Oreochromis niloticus: one gene and its partners. The protein of the gene in region 1 binds, or shares a complex with, the protein of each later gene. Links are inferred from orthologs where the notes say so. Each region holds a gene or a part of one and is shown on either strand. Other genes may lie near its edges. The genes, in order: fdx2, ndufab1b and nfs1.

Region 1 (6,986 bases):
GTCATGCCATTTTCTGCAACTGCTGCAGAAGCACTGAGCTTCATTTAACCAATTAACTTCAGCTTGGGCTGCAATAACCTCAGTGACGCAAATGTTTCAAGTTGTTCATTAGTAGAATTCAGGTGAGGGGGCACAATGACCTTTTTATGAAGGCCCAGGCCCCCAGGTAGTGAGTGCACTATTCAAAATATCTTTTTAAACAGATTTTATTGCACAACTTAAAATATTTGTATTTCATCAGACATAAAATACACAATTCACTTGTGCGCAAGTTGGACAAGTACAGTAGACTTGAGTAAAAGGTAGATGTGGTAAACTTAAACTATGGTAACATGAAGATCACCAGCTTCCATGCAGTCCTACTTCCATTTCCACCATCCTGCTATGGAACCAGCTGGACCAGATCCTCTAATCAAGCCTTAATCACTGACAGTTACAAAGAAATGCTTTAAAACACCTTTTTATCTGAAATGCAATTCACATGAATGTTTCTGAAATGTTTGGAGCAAATACAAAATAAGTTTCAATAGTATAAATTCTGCTTTGATTTCTTAGGAGCCCGTGTTTAAGAATCAGGCAAACATGACTGTTTATGGCTTTTTTCTGTCTTGCAGAATAGGATGATCGTGGCAGTGAGAATGTACTTCTACATCATAGACACAAAAATGTATAAATGAGCATGGTGCATACAAAAGTAAATGCTATGCATATAATACCTGACAAGAGTGATAATAATGGACTAGCCAAAACGATAATGACAATCTTGTGATACTTGTGCGTATTTGAGCTGTAACAAGGAATGTTCCATTAATCAGCAGAAAGATTTAACTCTGTTAAATAAAGTCTTCCCCTGCAGTTCTCTTTTTTTTTTCCAAAAAAAGAACAGTTTGATTGAATGGTGTCATAAAGCTGGCCTGAGAACGTGCCACAAACCCCCCAAAACAAAACAAAAAATACAGGATTTGTTAAACATCTTTTTGTTTTTTAAAGTTTGTTTTTTTTCCAAGTAACATCACCTACTGTGAGATGTAGTGTCTGACTCTGCCTGATCTCATCTGCAGGGACTGTCCTGTCAGTGGTTAACTGTAGAATTAGTCAGTTGTTAAGACATCTTGGGAGTTGCTATGGACTTTTCTATCCTTGTCATGCCTTTTCCATGGTTGCCCCCCCCCCTCCCAAACTCAACCAGTACACATGGTGCCTAGCGCCAAGCTAAAAGCTCCAGTTTTTCTCCACACCCCATCTTCACCCTCTATTTCACTTCTCAGTGAGGTTTGGGAACATGGCCATCCACATAGAAGTTCCGGGTGACTTTGGGCAAGGTTAGTTCAATCCCATCAAGCTCCGGAGTGAGAATGATCTGGCATCCCAGCCTGGAGTTCTCCTGCAGCATCGGCGCCATGTCAAGCATGTCATCCTCCCTATGAATGGATATATATGTCAATAATAATGATTTTTTTTTTTTTCAAACTGCATCACATAGATTTGCCAAACTTAATGTGACATGGTCAAATAAGATGGCACTGGTAGCAGTCCTACCTCTCTTCAGGTTCTGGCAGTTTGTCAAAATGAGCAGCACTCACATAAACATGACATGTTGAGCAAGCAAGAGACGCTTCACAGGCTCCTAAATATTCCAAGACACAAATATCTCAATGACAATGGTGCAAGGATAATGGTGTTCATCTAAAGTTCATCTGTAATGATCCTCACCTTCCAGGTCAATGCCATGCTTGTGAGCCAGGTAGAGGACATTGTCTCCCACTTTAGCTTTCACGGGGATCCTCTGGCCTGACCGATCTATATACACCACGTTGACACTGAACAGAAGACATCAAACTATTAAAAGCAACAAACAAACAGGTGATACAATATCTCACATCTGTGATGCATTCAAGATTAGATGAGCTTTTAAAGAAAATTTGTTTTTTGTTTTTTTAAAGAAACAGACATTTATGTGTGTTTGGCCATAATTCAAGTGTTTATTCCACCATTCTCAACTTATAATATACAAAATATATACAAATAATGAAGTCTGAAAATCTATAAATAATTTTATCTAATAAGTATCAGAGGTCTATTTTTTAAGCTTATCTGGTATTTTATTTATTTTTAAATAAAAAGAACTTTAAATGCAACAAGAGGTCTGCTTATTTTTAAGTATGTGCTCTCAAATTAATGATTTGCATAAGCACTCTGTGGTGGTTTAGGGTGCTTTTAAACTGGATCCAGCCGCTGCTTTGGTTGTGAGTTATTTTAATTTGTCCATTTACACTTACGTGCAACTTCGGCTTTAGTTTTTGACAGAAGTAGCTGTGATAACAATTCTTATTAAAAGTATTACGATGCATCCAGTTATGTGCAGTTCACCGTACCCTGTTATTTCACAATAAAAGCCTCAGCTGACTTACACATCCTCAGGGTCCTCTGCATTGGAGCTCCCCTCCTCACTGTGGTAAAGACCTGAGGAAAGAGCAACACAGCCATCATTACTGTGAGAGTATTCAAAGGTGACATCAGCTCCTCCACTTTGATAATGGGGCTGATTTACTTGTTGCACCCAAGTTTCAGAAGTTTACCATCCCTAACTGGGAATGCTGAAACGAAGTTACACAAGTGTTATTGAACCGACTTTCCAGGCAGATTACTGCTAATTTTACAGACTTCCTGCAATGCCTAACTTGCCTGGCATCGCCGATGACTGAAACTCCACCAAGAAGAAAAATTATAAGTACCTATTCAGACTTATCGTAAACAAACAGTCCTGACAGGAAAACCGGCTTTAGGCTAAATGTTAGCAGGCTGCACCACTCACCTATACTCGTCTGTAAGTGTCGGTTTATCGTCCGGAAACTATCAAAGGACCCCTTCCTTTGTAAATTAGCCGCATTTTTCGCATTACACTTTAACCTGAACAGTGGACACGTGCTACAGTCCGGGATAACTCGAGAAAGCCTCAAAGTCAGTCCCATGCTCGACCGGACTGCAGCAGAGGCCGCCATGACTGTTTTGGTCACATGACTGCACGCAGCCAATAGGAAACGAGTAACGGAGCGGGGACATTTCTGCTGTGAGGAGTTTCTCTGACAGCAGAGGGTGCCCCTGCGTCACCAGCTGCACGTGAGAGAAGGCCGATTATGTCTGTGTTACAAACGTTCACACGTGGACCTAAATGAACTTATACGATAAAATTTTGTGAAATTACTAAAAGTGGCAGAGCTCATTATGTTGAAAGGAGCCTGTGAGAGGGACTGTCTATGATAGTCATTAGTGTTGCTGTATTAATATGTAAATGCTGCATTTTTTTGAACTTTCTTTTCACTGCTTATATGTTTAACAGGTTGCACATATGAATAATTTCATGATACAGCTTACTAAAAAAAGTCAGCACACAAAGCTCTCATATATTTTAGAAATTGAAGTACGTATGTAAGTAAGTACCACATGAATTTGTACTGAAGTACAGCACCATGAAAAAGTCTCGAGCCATCCCTCCTTTATTTATATTTTACTTTCACACGGGTAGATTTTCATGTAATTCCGTAAAATGAGGAAACTGCACAAGTGAATGATAAAAAAAGATGAACAGTATCTGAAAGTCATGTACTTAAGAAAGAGCAGAAGATCCAGCACAGACCTGATACAGGACCTGAGAGATGCATCTTGCTCCTCTGCATTTGCTGTTTAATTCAGCCTCAACAGAAATGGTCTTAGTGAAAGGGTGGATGTGAAGACGCGATAGCTAAGGAAGGGAAACAGGGAGAAAAGGCTGAGACGGGAACAGGTCTTATGGAATGATGAATCTGAATTTGACATGTATATAGGATATAAAGTATCTACAGCCATCTGTAAAGCACAGTGGAGACGGTCATAGTCTGAGGCTAAATGTCAAAGCTGATAGAATTCTGAATGCAAAAAAAGAAAAAAAAAAAAATTAATAATTTGATCCACCATGCAAAACCATCTGGGAAGGATCTGAGAGCCAATATAATATTTTTTTTATATGAAAATGATTCCAAACATTCTGTCAGTCCAGTAAAAGCAAACTGGGACAGAAAGCAAAACACACACGCTCACACAATGGAACATGGGAGCACAGTGGTGTGGTGGTTAGCACTGAGTCATCATAGCAAGAAGGTCCTGGGTTTAAATCCACTGACCTTCAGCATGTTCTCCACATGTGTGCGTGGGTACTCTGGCTTTTTCCCACAGTCTCAATGCATGCAGTCAGTGGGATTAGTTTAATTAGTGAATGTGAGTGCGAATGGTTTTCGAACAACAGACTGGAGACCCATCCAAGGTGTATCCTGCTTCTTACCCTGCCTCTCCCCAGAGCCCGGACCTCAACATTATTAAAGCAGCGTGGGATCATCTTTACAGAGAACAGAACAAAAGGCAGCCAACATCCAAAGAAGAGCTCTGAATTTACTACAAGAAGCCTGGATAACTATTCCTGAAGACTACTTAAAGAAAGTATAAGAAAGCTTGCCTATGAGAGTACAGGCCATGTTCAGAAATAAAGGTGATAATACCTAATACTGACTTTCAAGCTCCTTAGACTTTTACTATCTATCTTTTTGCATATATACTCTATTTTCATTTATGTTTTCAAATGTTTCAATAGATATTCAACAAGTACTGGCTTTCAACTGAGTCATAGCCAAAGACTTTTATACAGTTGTATAAACTAGCATAGAAAGACAATACTGAAGAACTAATACCTTAAAAAGATCATTGATGACGTGTTCGAGATTACATTTAACCACAGGAGACTCAGTATAAATTGAAATCTAAATAACAGTTAAAAAAAAGAATAGACTGAACTCAGTACAAACAGCAAGATTAGGTTGCCTCCATTAGGCACCAGCACACCTAAGTTATTATAGACTATAAAGGTTTTTTATTTTACCTTCTATTTAAACAAAATGTCTGGTAGTAATACATTTACCATACACTTAGGAGCTATAAGCACATACAAGTGCAAAACATGCTTCAGTGTTATAATATAAATAATGTCTTAATGTAAAAAAAATATGGCAGTACATTTCAAACTGTTTAAAAGAAGAAATTTTAAATAACATACTTACGCAACACAGCTGCAGCTTTGACTAGTCTAAGCCTGTTAAAATTATATGCTTCTGATTAAGGAAGCAGGTTATATTTCAGAAGTATTAGACAGTATTGCCCCAGTGCTTTCCTCTGTGAATGCCCCACGGTACACAACAATAAATTCATGTTTTGCCCTGTTCTGCATGTGCTGAAGGCAATCTTAGATAAGACATGATGCAGGCTGGCAGCAGGACCCTGTATGACTGAGACCACTGTGTGTAAAGACAAAGACGTGATGTTATGACTACAGGCAGGTTAAAGGCTCAGCCGCTCTGTTTCTCTCTTGCTCTGTCTCTTGTGCTCAACTTCCACCCGAGCAAAAAGTCAGCTGCTATTAAGCATGTAACCCTTTTGCAGAAAAGCGCTGCGTTGATACTTGAGGTGTAATTTATTGGCCTCAGGGATCCTATAATAAAAAACGATGAGCTCATTCTGCGTGATATCACTAGAAGTCTTGCTTCACTTCTTATCTTTCCTTCACTGTGTCATAATGAACTATGGTTTGGGGAAAAGCAGACACTTAAAGTGGGTTTAAGATGCACACTAAACCCCCCATCTGGTTCTGGCTGTGGAGGTTCCTCCCGTGTGGATGGCTATAAAAAGTAAATGGGGACCTCTGTCTGCTTTTTTCCCTTTATTTTATAGTAAGCCCTGGCACTCAACTCGCTGGCATATAGATTATAACTTTTTATGTACTCTAAATTCACATAATGAAACACTGTTACACTTTCATGTGTGTACTCACGCACACATGCACCACACACACACACACACACACACACACACACCTGCATAGTACTATTGTCAAAGGACAGTTTATATGTGTGTCTGAGAAGTCTGTCAGTTTACAACCTACATCTTTTGTCCCGAGGTTTTGAAGGTGTGTGTGTGTGTGTGTGTGTGTGTGTGTGTGTGTGACGTGCGTGTTTTTGAGTGTGTATTGACATGTATTGGGTGGAGTTTCTTTACGCTTGACCTGGTTAGTTAGGTGGCCTGTAGCTGTTCCTTAAGATTACATTTTCTTTGCTTCGTGATGACTACGCTATGCAAAAACTCAAACACCCCCACATTCTTACTTTTTAAATCTACTCACAACTGTAATATTTAAACAAAGCACTTCTTAGAAATGATGTGGACACACAATACACACCCTTGGATTTAAAAAAAAAAACTCTCCTAACAAATGTTGCTAACCCAGAGTTAAGCAGAGACATCATGAATAGTGCAGAGACATTTTGCAGTTATGCAGTGACCTGGTGAATCCCCAGGGACTACAGTATGCATATATATGTGCTGCTTATGTTTCCAGGGACATGGAAAATCACATTTTTTTGTCTGCAGTCCTTTGGGTGCTTTCAATTACTCCTATCAGCACTCCCCTGTTCTTTTTCCTTGTTAATGACACCCCACCCCCCCACCTCTCTCCAACGTACCACAATGCAGCTTTTCCCTGCGAAGCGCCTTGAGGAGACTGTTGTTGTGATCTGGTGCTATATAAATAAAATTGAATTGAATTGAAATTGAATTCCCTCTCTCTTTTTAACTTTAAACAACTCCTATTATATAACATACACTCACTGGACACTTTGTTAGGTACACATGAACAGCCTACTTGTTTGTTGAATGCAAATTTCGAATCATCCAATCACCTGCAACTCAGTGCCTTTAGGCATGTAGACATGATGAAGGCCACTCACTGAAGTTCAAACTGAGTATCAGTTAAGCGATTCTGAATGTGGCATGGTTGTTGTTGGTGCCAGACAGGCTGGTCTGAATGTTTAAAGAAAAAAAACTGGGATTTTCCCACATAACCGTCTCTGGGGTTTACAGAAAATGGTCAGAAAAAAAGGAAAATATCCAGTGAGCGCTAGTTCTCT
Region 2 (7,476 bases), on another chromosome or scaffold:
TATTTTTGTGATCCAAATCAACAGTGTAAAAAAAAAATGCCAGCTTATGTTTTTTGTTTATTAATTCAGCCCTCGACTGCCAGCAGAACGTTGCATGACTGCCATGTGACTGGTTCACCACAGGCAATAAAGACATGCTTTCTGTTTATTCTCTCCCTTCACAGCGATGTCCTTTCACTGCCGAGGAGCTAGCTGTGTGCGTGTGTGAGATTTTATTTCACTCACTATGACACAGTTCTTCCCAATGTGGACGTAGGAACCAATCTGTGCTGCGTTGACCACGCAGTCCTCCTCGATGAAGACGTGGTCTCCAATGTGCAGCGGGAAGAAAGCCACCCTGCAGGGGGCGACAGGGCAGTGATGAGACATATGCTTTTTCTGCTTACCATATTCTCTCCTTTATTCATTTGTACAGTGACTTTAAATATATCTTGAGTGACAATAATTAAAAACAATCTCAAAGCATCTTCATCTTTATCTAGAACATGAAAGCAGATGGCTGGCCTGAACGTGTGTCCAAGATACTTTACCCTTTGCTGAACTTTTTGAAAGGTGGTCGAATAACACTCCGGCTTTTCACCACGCAGTGTCTGCCCACCCTGACGTTAGCAAGGTCCCCCCTGATGATGCAGTCATTCATAACAATAGTCTGCAAGAGAGAACATCCAAAGACTAAGCTTTAGCACAGCTGGACAGTCTCTATTCACAGTGTCATTTCCAGGTGTGTGTTTTCCTTACTTTGCCGTTCAAGACTATGTTTTGACTCCCACATAGTACCGACTGTCTGCTCACTTTGTTGCCAGAAGCCTGAAATAGAACAATAACAACGGTTAATAATCGTGTGAACGATCGTATCTGTTTCTGTCCACATAAATGAACACAAACAACCGTCTCTGCTCTCCGCCCAACGCCCCGTTCACTTTCTGCTTGGACAGATAGCAGGCTACGTTAGCTTAAACAGCGGTGATTAAAATCCCACACAGTACCGTCTCAATGTACTCCGCTTTGTTGTACAGTATTTCAGACAACTCCATGGCTGGAAACCCGCTGAACTATCAAACACAGCGATGATTATTCTGCGATACTGTCTAAAGCATCGATCCGGATTTTCTCTATGGGAAGCTCCTTCTACGCTTCTCTTCTGCGCAAGCCCGGACGTGACGCCATCAAATAACTTTATTTAAAACATGAGAAATCGAGGAACAGAAAAACAAACAAACAAAACAGACATAATAGATATTCATGTGTAAAGATTAAAAAATAAATAAAAACTACTACTACTACTACTAATAAAAGCTTTTATAAACAACAACTGTCTGTATATTTTGTGATAGGTTCGGGGATTTTTTTTATGATTTCTCCAATGAGACTAAAAACACTGAGGGTTAAGCTGGGTTTAACTGAAGTGGTGGCCCGAAAAGCTACATGCGCTGTGCAGCAGGGGCGGTTCTAGAAGGGTGGCATGGGAAGTGCCACCCTAAAATGATCCCTTGCCACCCCAAGTGCACCCCAGTTTTGCATATGACAGTGTTGTTTATTAAAATAGGATAGCATTAACACTTTGAGCGTAGTTACAGTCAACAGTGAATATAAATGCTAAAACTGAATATATTGCATAGTGTTACCCCCCCCGCACCTTTAACAAATGGTTCAGCCCATAGCAGGACCGGCTTTTTTCTTGTTTTCAGTAGCAAGTGATGCTTATGGTTGTTCCAGAGCACATTTTGAACAACACCATGGGGATTTCAGATTTCACACAGGTAGTTGGTTGTAACACTCTGGAAATGGAATGAAGATGAGTGTTATTAACCCTCTGTGGTCCACGGACACGCTGCACCTCCAAATCACATGACTGATTTAAGCAACAAGCTGCAGCCACGCTGAGTCTCTATTTCAGCCCATATTGAAAGTTCGGACTTCAAAGTTTTTAAATTTTAATTACAGCCCAGTAAATCCAGAGTTATGATAATATACATAAGCCATGCTTTTTTCTAAATACTGTCATCACGTTTTTTTCTGTGTGTATGTTTTTTTTAAAGCGTTTTCTAAGGACAGCGCGAAAACAGTAAAGAAAGAAAAAAAGCCACCTCTTTCCTATCGGTGGAAAAATGTACCATGCAGACCAATTTAGAAAAAAGTCAACATGTGGGATTTGGTTGTTTAGGAAGAGGGGAAAGTTTTGGGAGTGACGGTAACGGCAGCGAGACAGAGCGAGCGAGTGAGAAAGAGAGAGTTTAGATGTGGGAGATTTATGACGTTTAGTGTGGAGTGTATACTTAGTGTGTTGTGTTGTCTTGTGTAGTTGTTCTGTTGTGTAGTCGTTTTGTTTTGTGTGTCAGTGATGGCACTAATGAATGTCACAAAGGCACATTTGCAATGTAAACACTGTCAATAAGTAGAGAACCAGCGGAGTGATACACCTGCTGTTGTCAGGCCTGCAGGTTTATCCCTGTGCTGTTCGCCTCTGTCTTTTGGTGGAAAAACATTTTTTTACTGCCACACATAATTTGTGACACCTGATTGTTCTCTCATTTTAGTTTTAGTAATATTTTTAAATGGTTGTACAAAATGGAAAAAAAAACCCAGCAGGTGTATTGGCTGCATTTTTAGATAAATAGTTGTATATGTTTATAAATGTACAATTTATATTTGCATTTCAAGTTATAAAAATTTACTCAACATGTCTGTGGGTTTTTTTACAGTAAAAAAATACTACCAGGATTTTAAGTTCTTTGTGTGATTTCAGATCAGTAATACTAATGCAGTATGTCAGTGAAAAAAAACAACTACATTCAGACAAATTCAGCTGAGCTGAAAAGAATGATACCAAACAAGGCAAGGGGAAAAAATAAAATGAAACAATTTGAGGGTGAAATATGAACGTAAACTCAAAAGGAGTCAAAAATGTCCGGTTGTATTTCAGACCTCAGTGGGTTAATCCAACAAATCAAGAAAAATTAGGTTTAAATTTTTGTTCATGACAGTGCAGATTTCTGACATTTTGTGTAATTTAAGCATGTAACAACGTGATTGTTTTCTAACAAAAAACAGTGTGAAACTTAAGTTAGACTTGTGTTTGTAAATGTACCGCCCCATGTTGTGTAGCTTTCTGGATTTTATACTTATTGGGCTACATATTTATTTATTATACAGGCTATACAGTACATAGCATCAAAACTCACATGTTTTATGTAACTAAAGTGTTTAATTATGTGGGCTACAGACAATAATTAAGTTATAGACTATATTTATATGAAAAGCATGTATACTTACTGCATTTGAATCATTTTAACCATATGTAACCACCTGCATATGTGTATGGTAAAAAAGGCTTTGATTTTGCCACCCTATTTGATTGCTTTGCCACCCTCATGCCACCCTAAGAAAATTTCTCTAGATCCGCCCCTGGTGCAGCGGTGATGAGGAAACTTAAAAACAAGATCCTGGAGGAGTGTTTTTAAACAGCCGGGACCTTCAGAGAGAGGAAGAGCAGAGGAAGAGACTCTGGACACTCGAGGGTTTTTGTCAGAGGATATGTTATTCAGGCAGGTGGGACGGAAGTAGAAGAAACAGGAAGATGAAAAGGGCTGTGGCTCTTACAAACTGAAGTGTAATCTGCCTGAAACCCTGGAGACATCACTGCTACCTGGATCTAGCAATCAGGCAGTCAAAACTCCCAGAGGAGGCAGAGAAAAAGCCGACACAGGGAAAAACACAGAAACACAGCTTCCATGGGAGCTTCCATGTCTGATAAACTGAGCCTAAAAGTTTGTCGTTGTCCATTTTTATTATCTAATTTTTGTAGACTTCATAACTTCATTTTAGCAGTATTATTGTACACCTAAAGAGCTGAAAGCAACATCTTCGATACTTGTTTTTGTTTCATTTGCACAATCCAAGTCTTGTTTTATGAATGTGAAAATCTCCCAAGAGGGACATCATTACTCTCAAAGCATACTATGATGACCTTTTTTCGAAGTTAGATTATTTTTTTAGGTTTCCCTCTAATATAATGCTCCACATCTGTCCAGATCATTGTGCAAAATACACTCTGATGTGCATCTGCAGCTCACAAAACGTGCAGGAATATTCGACGTCGTGTGTAAACATCTCCGGTGTTTGTTTGGTTTTTTACTGGATATATCTTATGAATTATTTGAAAAATAAACTTTATTGCCACATTAAAAGAAGATATGAAGTGGAGCAAGTGTCGTTTTACTCATTTAGATAATCATAAAACGACTCTGTGATCGATTAGTCTTCCCTGGATTGAATCCTTGCTCTTTAACATTTTTATTTTCCAGTTAAATCAAAGTCATTGGCAGGTTCTCAGTACCCATGTGCTCGTGGTGAGAAATGGACGGGGTTTAAATTTTAAAAAAAGCGCAGATAAAGCGACAAATTAGAAATAAACACAAGGTTTGCACTGTGCGCATGCGCAACGCGAAGCCCTTGACCCGCTTTTCTTCTTCTTCGCCTCGCACGCTGGTAGCTCCCAGTAACTGCTCTCCGTCATGGCGGCTCGTGTCCTGCAGCAGTGTGTCCGCTCCTTCGCTCGGCCCTCGCTGAGGCTTTGCTCCAATAACCTCGCATTAAGAGTTACTGCCGCCCCGGCGGCGGCTGTTCACCGACCTCTCTCCTTCGCTGCAGACAGCCGGAGGACGCGGTGGCTCGTCCAGAGCCGGGTGAGTCTCCGGTAACATTGAACCATCGCGGCCTAGCCGCTGTGACCTACCGATGTCTTTCAGAGCTGTGGGGCCAGCCTAGCCCGCTGAGAGTTCACGGTGTCACACGAGCAGCCTGTTTCGCTTTGAACGACTCTGTGTTGTTGTGGCAGAGAAACACGAAACACGGAGGGGTTTGCTTTTAAAAACGGAACAGCCATGTTTTCCCTGTTGGCTAGCTAGCTAGTTAGCAAAGTCGGTGATTTCATTGACAGACTTGTGTTGTTGCACTTGCAACTTCATTCTTTAACCTAGCCTAGCACTGCACGACTGATTCTGGCTAAACACCAGATACTAATGTGCAGCAAGGTAAAGCACTGTTGCAGTGCGGATGTTATTATGTATTACGTTAAGTGTGTTTATATAACACTGTTAGAATAATGTTACAGGTGTTTTAGCAAGCTGTGCACAACCTGAAGTGGGTGTGCAGCGTTGTAAGTGAACACTAATGCGCTGATAAATGCGTTTAATTGCAAATTTAGTCAAATGAAACCATAATGCAGTAATTACAGTTGAGATAATAAAGTCAGCCACACATTAAAAGCTTGAAAAGCAGCACAGATTTCCTCTTGGTCAAAGTTAAGTAAGATTTAAGTTTTATTTTGAAACTTGGATAAACTTTTTCCAGCCTTTACATCTGTACTGTTGCACAGTGTACTCGAAGTTATTGCTTCTTTTCACACTGTATGTAGTACACTCTCACTTGAGGCAAGCTAATGTATAGGCTGCATGATCACAACCCCCCACTCCCCTCTGCACTAATAATTTCTTCCCTTTTCTTCTTTGCAATCCTTAGATCCCCTCGGTGGGTGTGCTGTGTCGACAGTACGGAGACCTGCCCCCCCTCACTCTAGAAACCATCAAAGAACGAGTCATGTATGTACTCAAGCTCTACGACAAGATCAACCCAGAGAAGGTGAGAACAACAAGAGACCTTCAGTGAATTCTAGCTGAAAGATGTATGAATATAACACGTTCACAGGTATCTGTGAGGTGAAATTAGGCAATCGCGACTCATCCCTATCCAGAATGGCTCATGGAAATTGTTTTTGAAAAGTTTGCTGTTTTTAATGTATTAAATGTAATAAAAATTAGATTTTTAACTTGGAAAAATAATCTAAAATTAATACTATCATTCCTCATGTAGATTTGGTTTGTTTTATTTTGTAAAGCACCCTGAAATGCCTGTAGTGTTTGCAAGTTTCTGTATAAGTAAGCTTGAATTTCTAACCCTCTGGTTGGTTTCTGTTCCACAGCTGCAGACGAGCTCTCACTTCATGAAAGATTTGGGTTTGGACAGCTTGGACCAGGTGGAGATCATCATGGCCATGGAAGATGAGTTTGGTGAGAGCAAACCTCTTTACACTGCATAGAAAACTATTCCAAACTGTGGCTCTAGGCATTAAGTCAGCAAAAGAGATGTTTCTGACTCCTACAGTGCAGTGCAGAATGTGACTGCTGTTGTACTGCCACAGTGGAAGTAATTGAATAGGAATCTTAGATTTGCCTGCATGTGTGGATATGAAACACCAGTCTTGCAGTCTTCCTACCTGTTGAGCGTCAAAGTGCTGTCAAGTTTGTCTTCAGAGGGTAAATGTGGCGCTCTGTGTGGACGTCCCACATAAAGCAAGATTTACTCAGAGTATATCCTGTGGTAGAAACACTGTAGTACACATCATTCTACAGTATTTATTTGTTGGATTCATCTTGAAAACTGATTTAGAAAGTGATTGAAGGTTGCAGTTTGTTGCTTTTTACTTTTTGACTTGTAATAATTCTGCAGATTTAAACGAATCAGGAATCTGTACTTTTGATAAATGGCTGATTTATATAATCTGTTTGGGAAGTAAATAGTAAACAGGGATGAGGAGATGGAGCAGCCATTCTGCAAATTAGAAGGTTGGTGGTTTGATCCGAAGCATCTTGGGGCAAGATACTGAACCTGAAACTTCAGTGTGTTTATTGGAGTGCGAATGAGACGTGTTGTATGAAGTGCTGTTAGTGCTCTATAAGAATCAGTCCATTTAGCATGAGTGCACACAGGAGCCTCAGTGGTGACTTCTTAGTCAAATGGTAGGTTTGATAACTGTACATCAGGGCTAATGCACTTCCATACAAGGTCAAGGCCAGGTCAAGAGGTAAAAGGAAGTCCTTTCAGAGCCTTTGTCTAAACTCTGTCCTGGGTGGATTTATAGTATGCTGAGAACAGGGTTCTTAGAGGGTTCTAGAGTCATTTTTGGCAGTTAGCAGAAAATTTAAATCAGAATCAAATGACTTTTTTTTTCTTATTTTAATCAGTTAGTGCATCAGTGCAGTGACTCTTAAGATAACAGACTAACAGCTTTTAATGTGTGACCATAACCCCCACAGGTGAGGACGTAGTACCAGCGAGATGTTTGCGACCATCTGTGCAGAAAGCCGCTTATTCGTCCAGCATTATCGATGCATGTCACATGGCTTCTTTAGCACACGCCGTAACCAATAACTTGTTTGTGCTGCAGGCTTTGAGATCCCAGATGCAGAAGCAGAGAAGTTGATGACTCCTGAGGAGATCGTACAGTACGTCGCAGACAAGAAAGACGTTTATGAGTAATCTGCTCTGTAGCACACCACAGAGGCAAGTCACCACCAGGCCCAGTTTTCTGTCTTTGGTCACATGTTGTTGTGTCGGGGCTCAATTTATATTCCTTTGTGCCCACATAGGGTCACCTCCACCCCACCCACCCAACACGAAGTTCTTGTGAAGCAGATG
Region 3 (6,999 bases), on another chromosome or scaffold:
CGACATTCCATAGCGGTAACCCGACTGACGGAGGATGTCGATGCTCTCGGACAGTTTATCATAAATACACGGCTCGCTCATCGTTGTCCCCATGATGGCGGCAGTGGCGACAGCTTCTTAGTCAAACGTGTCGATTTTCAGTTGCTAAAGGCTCTTGGAGCATGGCGTCACCTGTGAAATCAACCAAGGGGTCAGCTGACATGTCACAGCTTTCAGCACTAGCAAGTTACCATCACTGAAGGTGCAGATAATGTGGAAATACTTCTATGTTTAATCTGAATGTGGTTGAAAGTTTCCTCCATTGCCCTCTTGGCCACTCACACAAACAAGTTTGTTCTTCCAGACACTGTCACAAACCTTTCAAATGAATTTCTGGCTTTCATAACTAAAACATATATTACAATATCATCCCTACTACCATCTTGATTTGTGAGATTAATACGGCGGATTTATTATCTTCATGCACAGTTGCAAATTATTATTTGACTTATTAGATCAGCTCTGCAGGACTCTCAAAAGGTCCAGTACAAGTCTCATCTTGTACTCTGTGCAATTGCTTAGGGCAAAAATTAGAGTCCCGGGATCTCAATCTGGGCTTCAACGGAGTCCAACTACAATGCTTAGACAGCAGTTCTTGTTCTGCATTGGAGATCTGCTGCAAACTGGAGGCTCATGCTAACAGTAATCTGCAGCATGTGGAGAACTGGTTGATGTGTCGCTATGCTGACATCACCAAAGCTGCAGAGGAGAACAAGGACAACCAGCTGCAGCCCAAGATAGGAGAGCTAGAATCCTTCCAGCAGATGAAAAACTCAATGAAGAGATGTCTGATACCTGCTCTGTTAATTAGAGCCAAAAACTACTATAGAGTAGCATTTATTAATAAACTTAAAGAAAATGGGGATGCACCTCCTTTCACATAAAAATGCACACACTCTGACCAAGCCACAGCTTTTATTAATTTTTAAGAAGCTAGGTTGAGATCATCTGTGGGCCATATTCTCTTGTGTCAGTTCTACATGGACTTTGGCATCAGTTACAGATAACTTTGCAAAACAGCCCTGTTCTGATAACATGAGGTTGGTGGCAACATTTACATATGCAGCACTCCAAAAATGCCCGTTAAGAATGCTGCATGTATAATTTTAGAACTTCTTTTTTCTGACAGCAAGAATTAAAAACCCCACAGGGACAAGTACTTCTTTTACCCTTCATTTCAAATGAAGGGTATATGATCTCTAAAGTCCTGTTCACAGATCAGTTATGTACTTGAGCTTGGTTTCGAACATCTAAATAAGTAAATAGTGAAGAGAACCTATGTATTTGTTTGTTTGTTTATTGCTATCTGATCATAATGAAACAAGTGGTTCTTTCCAAAAGAAAGGGTGCAGGCCAAAGCAATGGCTTGCATACGATGCACCCCACATACATAAAACAAGCATCCAGAAAGTAACATTATAACAGAAACATTACCAGATAGCCACAGTATCAAAGCTGGAATCCGAGACTTGCACTTGTGGAGCAGGACGATAATTAGAAGCATGCCACCAAATGGCTCAAAGAAACAAAACAAAAAACAATATAAAGGTTTTGAAGTATCCTAGGCAAAGTCCAGGCTTAAATCCGATTAAAATGTTTTGGCATGACCTTAAAAAGGCTTTTTGTGCTTAAAAATCCAGAATTAAAACAATTCTGTCAATAAGGGTGGGCCACAGTGATGTGAAACACTCATTGCCAGTCATCACAAATGCTTGACTGCAGCTCTTGCTGCCAAGAATGGCAAAACCAATCAGCTTTAGGGCCAATTACTTTTTCACACAGGGTCGAGCAGGTTTGTGTAGCTTTTTTCAGTTTGTAAATTAAACCATCATTTAAAAACTGCATGTTTTATTGACTTGGGTTTCATTTTTTTAATATTAAAATTTATGTAACAAATTTAAAAATAAAGTAAAACACATACACACATCAAAAAGGAAAAAAAAAAATCAGGGAGGGGGAAATCACAGCACGGTACGCTGCAAAATATGGGGATCAAGGTAAAATTAGTGGACCCTGTCTCCACACAGACTGTCCAGTGTAGGTAAACTGATAAATATTTCTCACTTACTTATGTTCCATAATAATATCTATACGAAAACAAGAACGATAAGCTACTATTACATATTCCAATACAAATTCAGTTTCAATGCGAACGTGATATCAGACTCAGACTCGGGAGTTAAATCCCCACAGTGTTTAGTTCTGCTTTTTACTCGTCGTTGTAAATAACAAGTAGGCATTGACGCTCATGTTGGCGTCTAACGTTCAGGAAACTAGTTTTCTCTCCTCTTCATCTTTAATAACTACGATCAGTGCAGCTGCTACGACCAGAAAACGCATGTAAATGTTAAATATAACACTACCTAATTTATTCGTTAATTTGACAGAAGCATAAACCCATTATATTATTTGATACGAATAAAAACAAAACCCCAAAACGTTTTTACCGTCCTGCCAACAGCAGCATACTGACAGATTAGCTCGTCTCTGCGAGCTTTCACATTACGAGCAGAAACCTCAAACTCACCTCAAAGCGAGATCCACCGCTCAAAAGGTTTAATCTTCCATCTCCGGTGTTTTTAAAAATAATATATAAATAGAGTTTTTAAAAGTGACCTAGCTAGGTAGCTAATGAGCTACATTCGGCTTCTCTTCCGCTTCTACCTTTTCTTCTTCTGTATTGGGCGAACATCAAAAAAGCGCCACCAGCTGGTATGGAGTTTGGGTCTGAATTTAAATATTGCATTATCCATCCATTCTCTTCGAGGTCGCTGGAGTCTATCCCAGCTGTCTTAGGGCGAGAGGCGGGGTACACCCTGGACAGGTCGCCAGTCTGTCGCAGGGCTAAAACATAGAGACAGAAAACGATTCGCACTCACATTCACCTATGGGCAATTTTGGAATCACCAATTAACCTCACCCAACGTCTTCGGACTGTAGGAAGAAGCCCGAGAGAACCAACGCAAACAGGGGAGAAGATGTAAAAACTCCTGATGGTGGAAGTGAACTCAGGACCTTCTATGCTGTGAGGAAACAGTGCGAACCACTGCTAGCAAGATTGTTCTTGTCTTTGTACTTTTACACTGTTAAGCATAAAGTCTTACTCCTGAAATATACACAAATAGTTATACAGTACAACACTTTCCCCCAAAATTTTACTGAAGCAAAAATAGATTATTTAAAAGTAGTGTACTCATAAGATGCTGAAACATACTGAAACCACATTGCACAAACTCGTTGCTTTAGCCAACCAGAAAGCAGAAGCGGTACCAAAACACAGAAAATTAACGAATCAGAGTGGCGAATGTTCACAGGAACTCCCGCCTCCTATTTCCGTTTCTTGTGCAACCATGAAACAGCATCGACATCGAGCTGCGTCAAGCTATCAAAGTAACCGAGTGAAGACACTGTAAAGAGGCGGAAGCTTAAAGTTAAAATAATGGGATTTTTTAAATGTATTGCATAATTTGTTTTGGCTGCTATAACACCAGGACTCCCAAGTTTTTGTGATAAAGAACATCTTCCATTATCTTACTTAAATTAATTAACAGAAACCTGAAGTTTTTACCCTGTAAAGTCCAAGACATCATTACTGGTGACCCTAGTCCAATTCTATGATATTGTTTTTACATTGTTACTTGCATTTATTTATCTGTTGTTGTTTTTTTTCTCTCCCCTTGACAATCAGAGGACAAAAATAGCTATCAATCCGACTGATAAGTATCCAAATATATGTGCATATTATTTATTTTTTCAGAAAATAATCCATTTTATATGAACAAAAGCAATGGTTATCAATGCGATGGTTGTGAAAAGCTTTTAATTTGAAAGTCTCACACGGAAGTGTTCGTGTTACGTATTCATCTTGACGTTTGTGTTTATACCTGGACGTAACAGACAGGCGGCAACATCACCGAACTTCACTCAAATTTAACCTCATGTTTAAGTAGTGATATATTTTTTTAATTTTCTTGTCGAGGAACCAGTGGGTTAAACTGGTCTGTGCCAAGTTTTCTGTTTTGCTGGTGTTCATATTACGAACAGCGTGCTGTTTTTGACGGAGGTCAGCGGCTTTCCAGTTAAGCCAGTCCACTGACAAGATGCTTGCCTCGGGTAGGACCGTGTCCTCCCGGCTGCTGAGGCCAACCGCGTGGCTTCCTCTCCGGCTGAGCTCCGAGCGGACGGCCGCTAGCTCCCCGCAGAAAGGTAACAACAGCCCGGAGCAAACTGGGTAGCTTATCCCCCCAAGACCAACTAGCACGAAGCTAATCCCAAAGTGACGCAGTTTAGTAAGGAGGCAGGAAACTTCACAGCATCTGTAAACTGTCAGGTTAACTGACCACTTTAAAATGCCTGTGAGGTCAGGAAAACCTAAAACATACTAAATTAAAACACTAAAAAACGGGAAGTTCACGAGAACTAGCTGACTGGCACAAGATGAAGCAATCTTGTTAAATAACTGTTTAAAAAAGATTTTAATTTATGTTCTGATATTCTCTGTCTCACTCTCCATTTTTATAATGTTAAAATCTGGCACGTTACTCTTGACTTCATTGCCAGATTGACAACATTTTTTTAATGTATTTTATACAAAAATGCGTTAAAAATATGGAGTCAGGCCGAAATTTGTGCTCATTGTCTCCACACAGATGAGTCAGTCTAGAGAAGTGAAAATTAATTAATCTATTCATTTGTGGTCATTAGTTCATTAGTTAATTCATAAGACTAATGGGAAGATTGTTGTTCTACTTATTAAATGAGGCAGAATAAAGACCAGTCCCACGTTCTTTATTTTAAATATAAAATAAGCACAAAGCAAAATGCTACTATTACATATTCCATACAAATATGCCTTGACACTGAGTCAGGGTTTTAAAAAAAATTTTTATCTGAGTTTTTAATTTTTGTTTGGCTGTAAAGGCACAATTGATGATGAATTTAACTAATTGATGACCTCCTGCCTGGTACAGATTTATGACCCAGTATGTTATTCCAGATCTGATTAAACACTTAGTAAAATGCTCTTTTCAGGCAGATCTTTAAGTCTCATAAAACACTGAATTGAGTTTCCTTGTTTAGTTTTTTTTAAAAAGTGGAAAAATCACATTGACTTTTAAATGTAATGAACAGCTTGTGACTTTACTGATTTATGAACTTCTAAATAAACATTTAAACATTAAACATTTTTTTAGTGTTTAGCTAATCCATTTATCAATTTACTGCCAGTTACCTAGGTCAAGGTGAATAAAAAATAATTCAAGGCCATATTGTCTTAACAGTTTTCCCATTGATTTCACAATTTAAATGCTGTTTTTTTTTTTTTTTTACATTAATAAATTTAATGTGGTCTTAAAAATGGCTTTAAATGTCTTAAATATACTGTACTTTATGCTGCAGAGTTGATCAAGAAACATGAACAGGATGAGCTTCGCCCCCTCTACATGGACTTCCAGGCAACCACTCCCATGGTAACTCTTACTAAGCGTTTTCTCACTTTTACAGGCTTCTACAGCTGATGTCAGAGAGAGTTGGACATAAAGCTGGTTGTACTTAGAGTTTCATATGTTTGTGTGTGTCTTTAGGATCCCCGGGTGCTGGATGCCATGTTGCCATACCAGGTGAATTACTACGGTAACCCTCACTCCAGAACGCATGCCTACGGCTGGGAGAGTGAATCTGCCATGGAGACCGCTAGGAAGGTAGAGAGCTGCTCCATCTTTAGAAAAGTGTAAATAAGCACAGCCCAGATATGGCCCTTGGCTAGTTTAAATCTGGTCCATATATCACTTTGGCTTGCTCAGTTGTAGCTGTGGTATGCAAAGAGACGTAGGCCTCATGCAAGCTAGTGAACACACCAAAATGGAGCGCTGATGCTGAATGTTTGAATTCAGATTTCACTGAGAGTCACTGACTGACTGTATGTATATATGCATGCGCACACACACACACACACACACACACTGAACAGGTATTATGTCCACTGACAGGTGAAGTTTGTCTTCATCATGGCAGCTGTTAGTGAATGGAATATATTAGGGAGCAAGTGAGCATTTTGTCCTCAAAGTTTATGGGTTAAATCAGGAAAAATGGCCACGCATAAGAATTTGAGCAAATTTCTCAATGGCCAAATTGTGATGGCCACTGGGGCTGAGTTAGAGCATCACCAGAACTGCAACTCTTGTGAGGTGTTCCCAGTCATCAGTATCTTTCAGAAGTGGTACAAGGAAGGAACGGTGATGAACCAGCAACACGGTCGTGAGCGGCCAAGGCTTATTGATGAACTCATAAAAGTGGGCCAGATCTATTATGGAAAAATCAGATTAGAAACATGTGAGTGAATCTGTTTGGTGAGGTTTTTTGGGGTTTTTTCTTGCTCTCTGAGCAGCAGGTGGCTGATCTGATTGGAGCCGATCCCAGGGAGATCGTCTTCACCAGCGGAGCCACAGAGTCCAACAACATGGCTATCAAGGTCCTACTCTCTTGACCTTAATCACTTTCTCTCACACAAACACGCACAGGTTTTGTTTTGGTGAAAACTGATCAAAAATATAAAATGCGGACAACAGATTAAAAATACAACTCTTACAAAATAAGAACACTGTAAAAAACAAAGTGATAAACTACATGAGAAATAAAAAAGAAGATATGAACAAAACCATGAAAACACATAAAACAGTTAGAGCAAACTTAGAATGTGAACTGATTAATAAAACTCCTTAAAACAAAGCTGTCATTAACAAAACTCTTTGTATTGTTAATGATTTGGATCCTTCTTCTGAATCAAACTGTACAATATTAAAATGCAAAAACTTGTGATAAAAATGGAATTTGTCAATCACGTTGAGAACATTTAATTAAAAGAACTTTACTGTGCACATTAGGCAAATAAGTCAGCTGACAGGAAAAAGTATCATCTGTTTTCACTGTTTCACTGAAACAAACTGCTTCACTTCAGTCCAC

What was found.
Region 2: fdx2 (region 1) and ndufab1b share a complex: the UniProt entries of both Homo sapiens proteins name them as parts of the mitochondrial core iron-sulfur cluster (ISC) complex. The link is inferred for Oreochromis niloticus from reciprocal best matches to the Homo sapiens genes FDX2 and NDUFAB1.
Region 3: the proteins of fdx2 (region 1) and nfs1 are in contact, whole or in part, in a cryo-EM structure (PDB 8RMC), measured with the Homo sapiens proteins. The link is inferred for Oreochromis niloticus from reciprocal best matches to the Homo sapiens genes FDX2 and NFS1. Residues at the interface, in NP_001384335.1 of Homo sapiens: Ala104, Cys105, Glu106, Ala110, Cys111, Pro141, Leu142, Ile169, Thr170, Arg171, Asn172, Phe173, Tyr174, Val175, Asp176, His178, Lys181; in NP_066923.3 of Homo sapiens: Gln153, Lys157, Leu160, Asp161, Arg164, Ala168, Tyr175, Ala384, Ser385, Leu386, Glu387, Pro388, Tyr390, Arg393, Gln456, His457.

Annotation. Positions count from the first base shown.
Region 1 is NC_031971.2:24,686,159-24,693,144, reverse strand, and holds fdx2 (ferredoxin-2, mitochondrial), read right to left. Parts: upstream 3,055-6,986; 5' UTR 3,003-3,054; coding exon 2,816-3,002; intron 2,464-2,815; coding exon 2,412-2,463; intron 1,821-2,411; coding exon 1,714-1,820; intron 1,628-1,713; coding exon 1,540-1,627; intron 1,422-1,539; coding exon 1,265-1,421; 3' UTR 191-1,264; downstream 1-190. UniProt on the Homo sapiens protein: Electron donor, of the core iron-sulfur cluster (ISC) assembly complex, that acts to reduce the persulfide into sulfide during [2Fe-2S] clusters assembly on the scaffolding protein ISCU.
Region 2 is NC_031969.2:12,086,595-12,094,070, forward strand, and holds the start of ndufab1b (NADH:ubiquinone oxidoreductase subunit AB1b), read left to right. Parts: upstream 1-4,456; 5' UTR 4,457-4,514; coding exon 4,515-4,685; intron 4,686-5,520; coding exon 5,521-5,640; intron 5,641-5,980; coding exon 5,981-6,068; intron 6,069-7,225; coding exon 7,226-7,317; 3' UTR 7,318-7,341; intron 7,342-7,427; 3' UTR 7,428-7,476. Other genes in the region: dctn5 (dynactin subunit 5), read right to left, coding at 226-337, 531-649, 739-807, 987-1,034. UniProt on the Homo sapiens protein: Carrier of the growing fatty acid chain in fatty acid biosynthesis.
Region 3 is NC_031970.2:12,150,721-12,157,719, reverse strand, and holds the start of nfs1 (cysteine desulfurase), read left to right. Parts: upstream 1-3,898; 5' UTR 3,899-4,139; coding exon 4,140-4,245; intron 4,246-5,436; coding exon 5,437-5,507; intron 5,508-5,621; coding exon 5,622-5,738; intron 5,739-6,424; coding exon 6,425-6,508; intron 6,509-6,999. Other genes in the region: lg5h6orf89 (bombesin receptor-activated protein C6orf89 homolog), read right to left, coding at 1-93.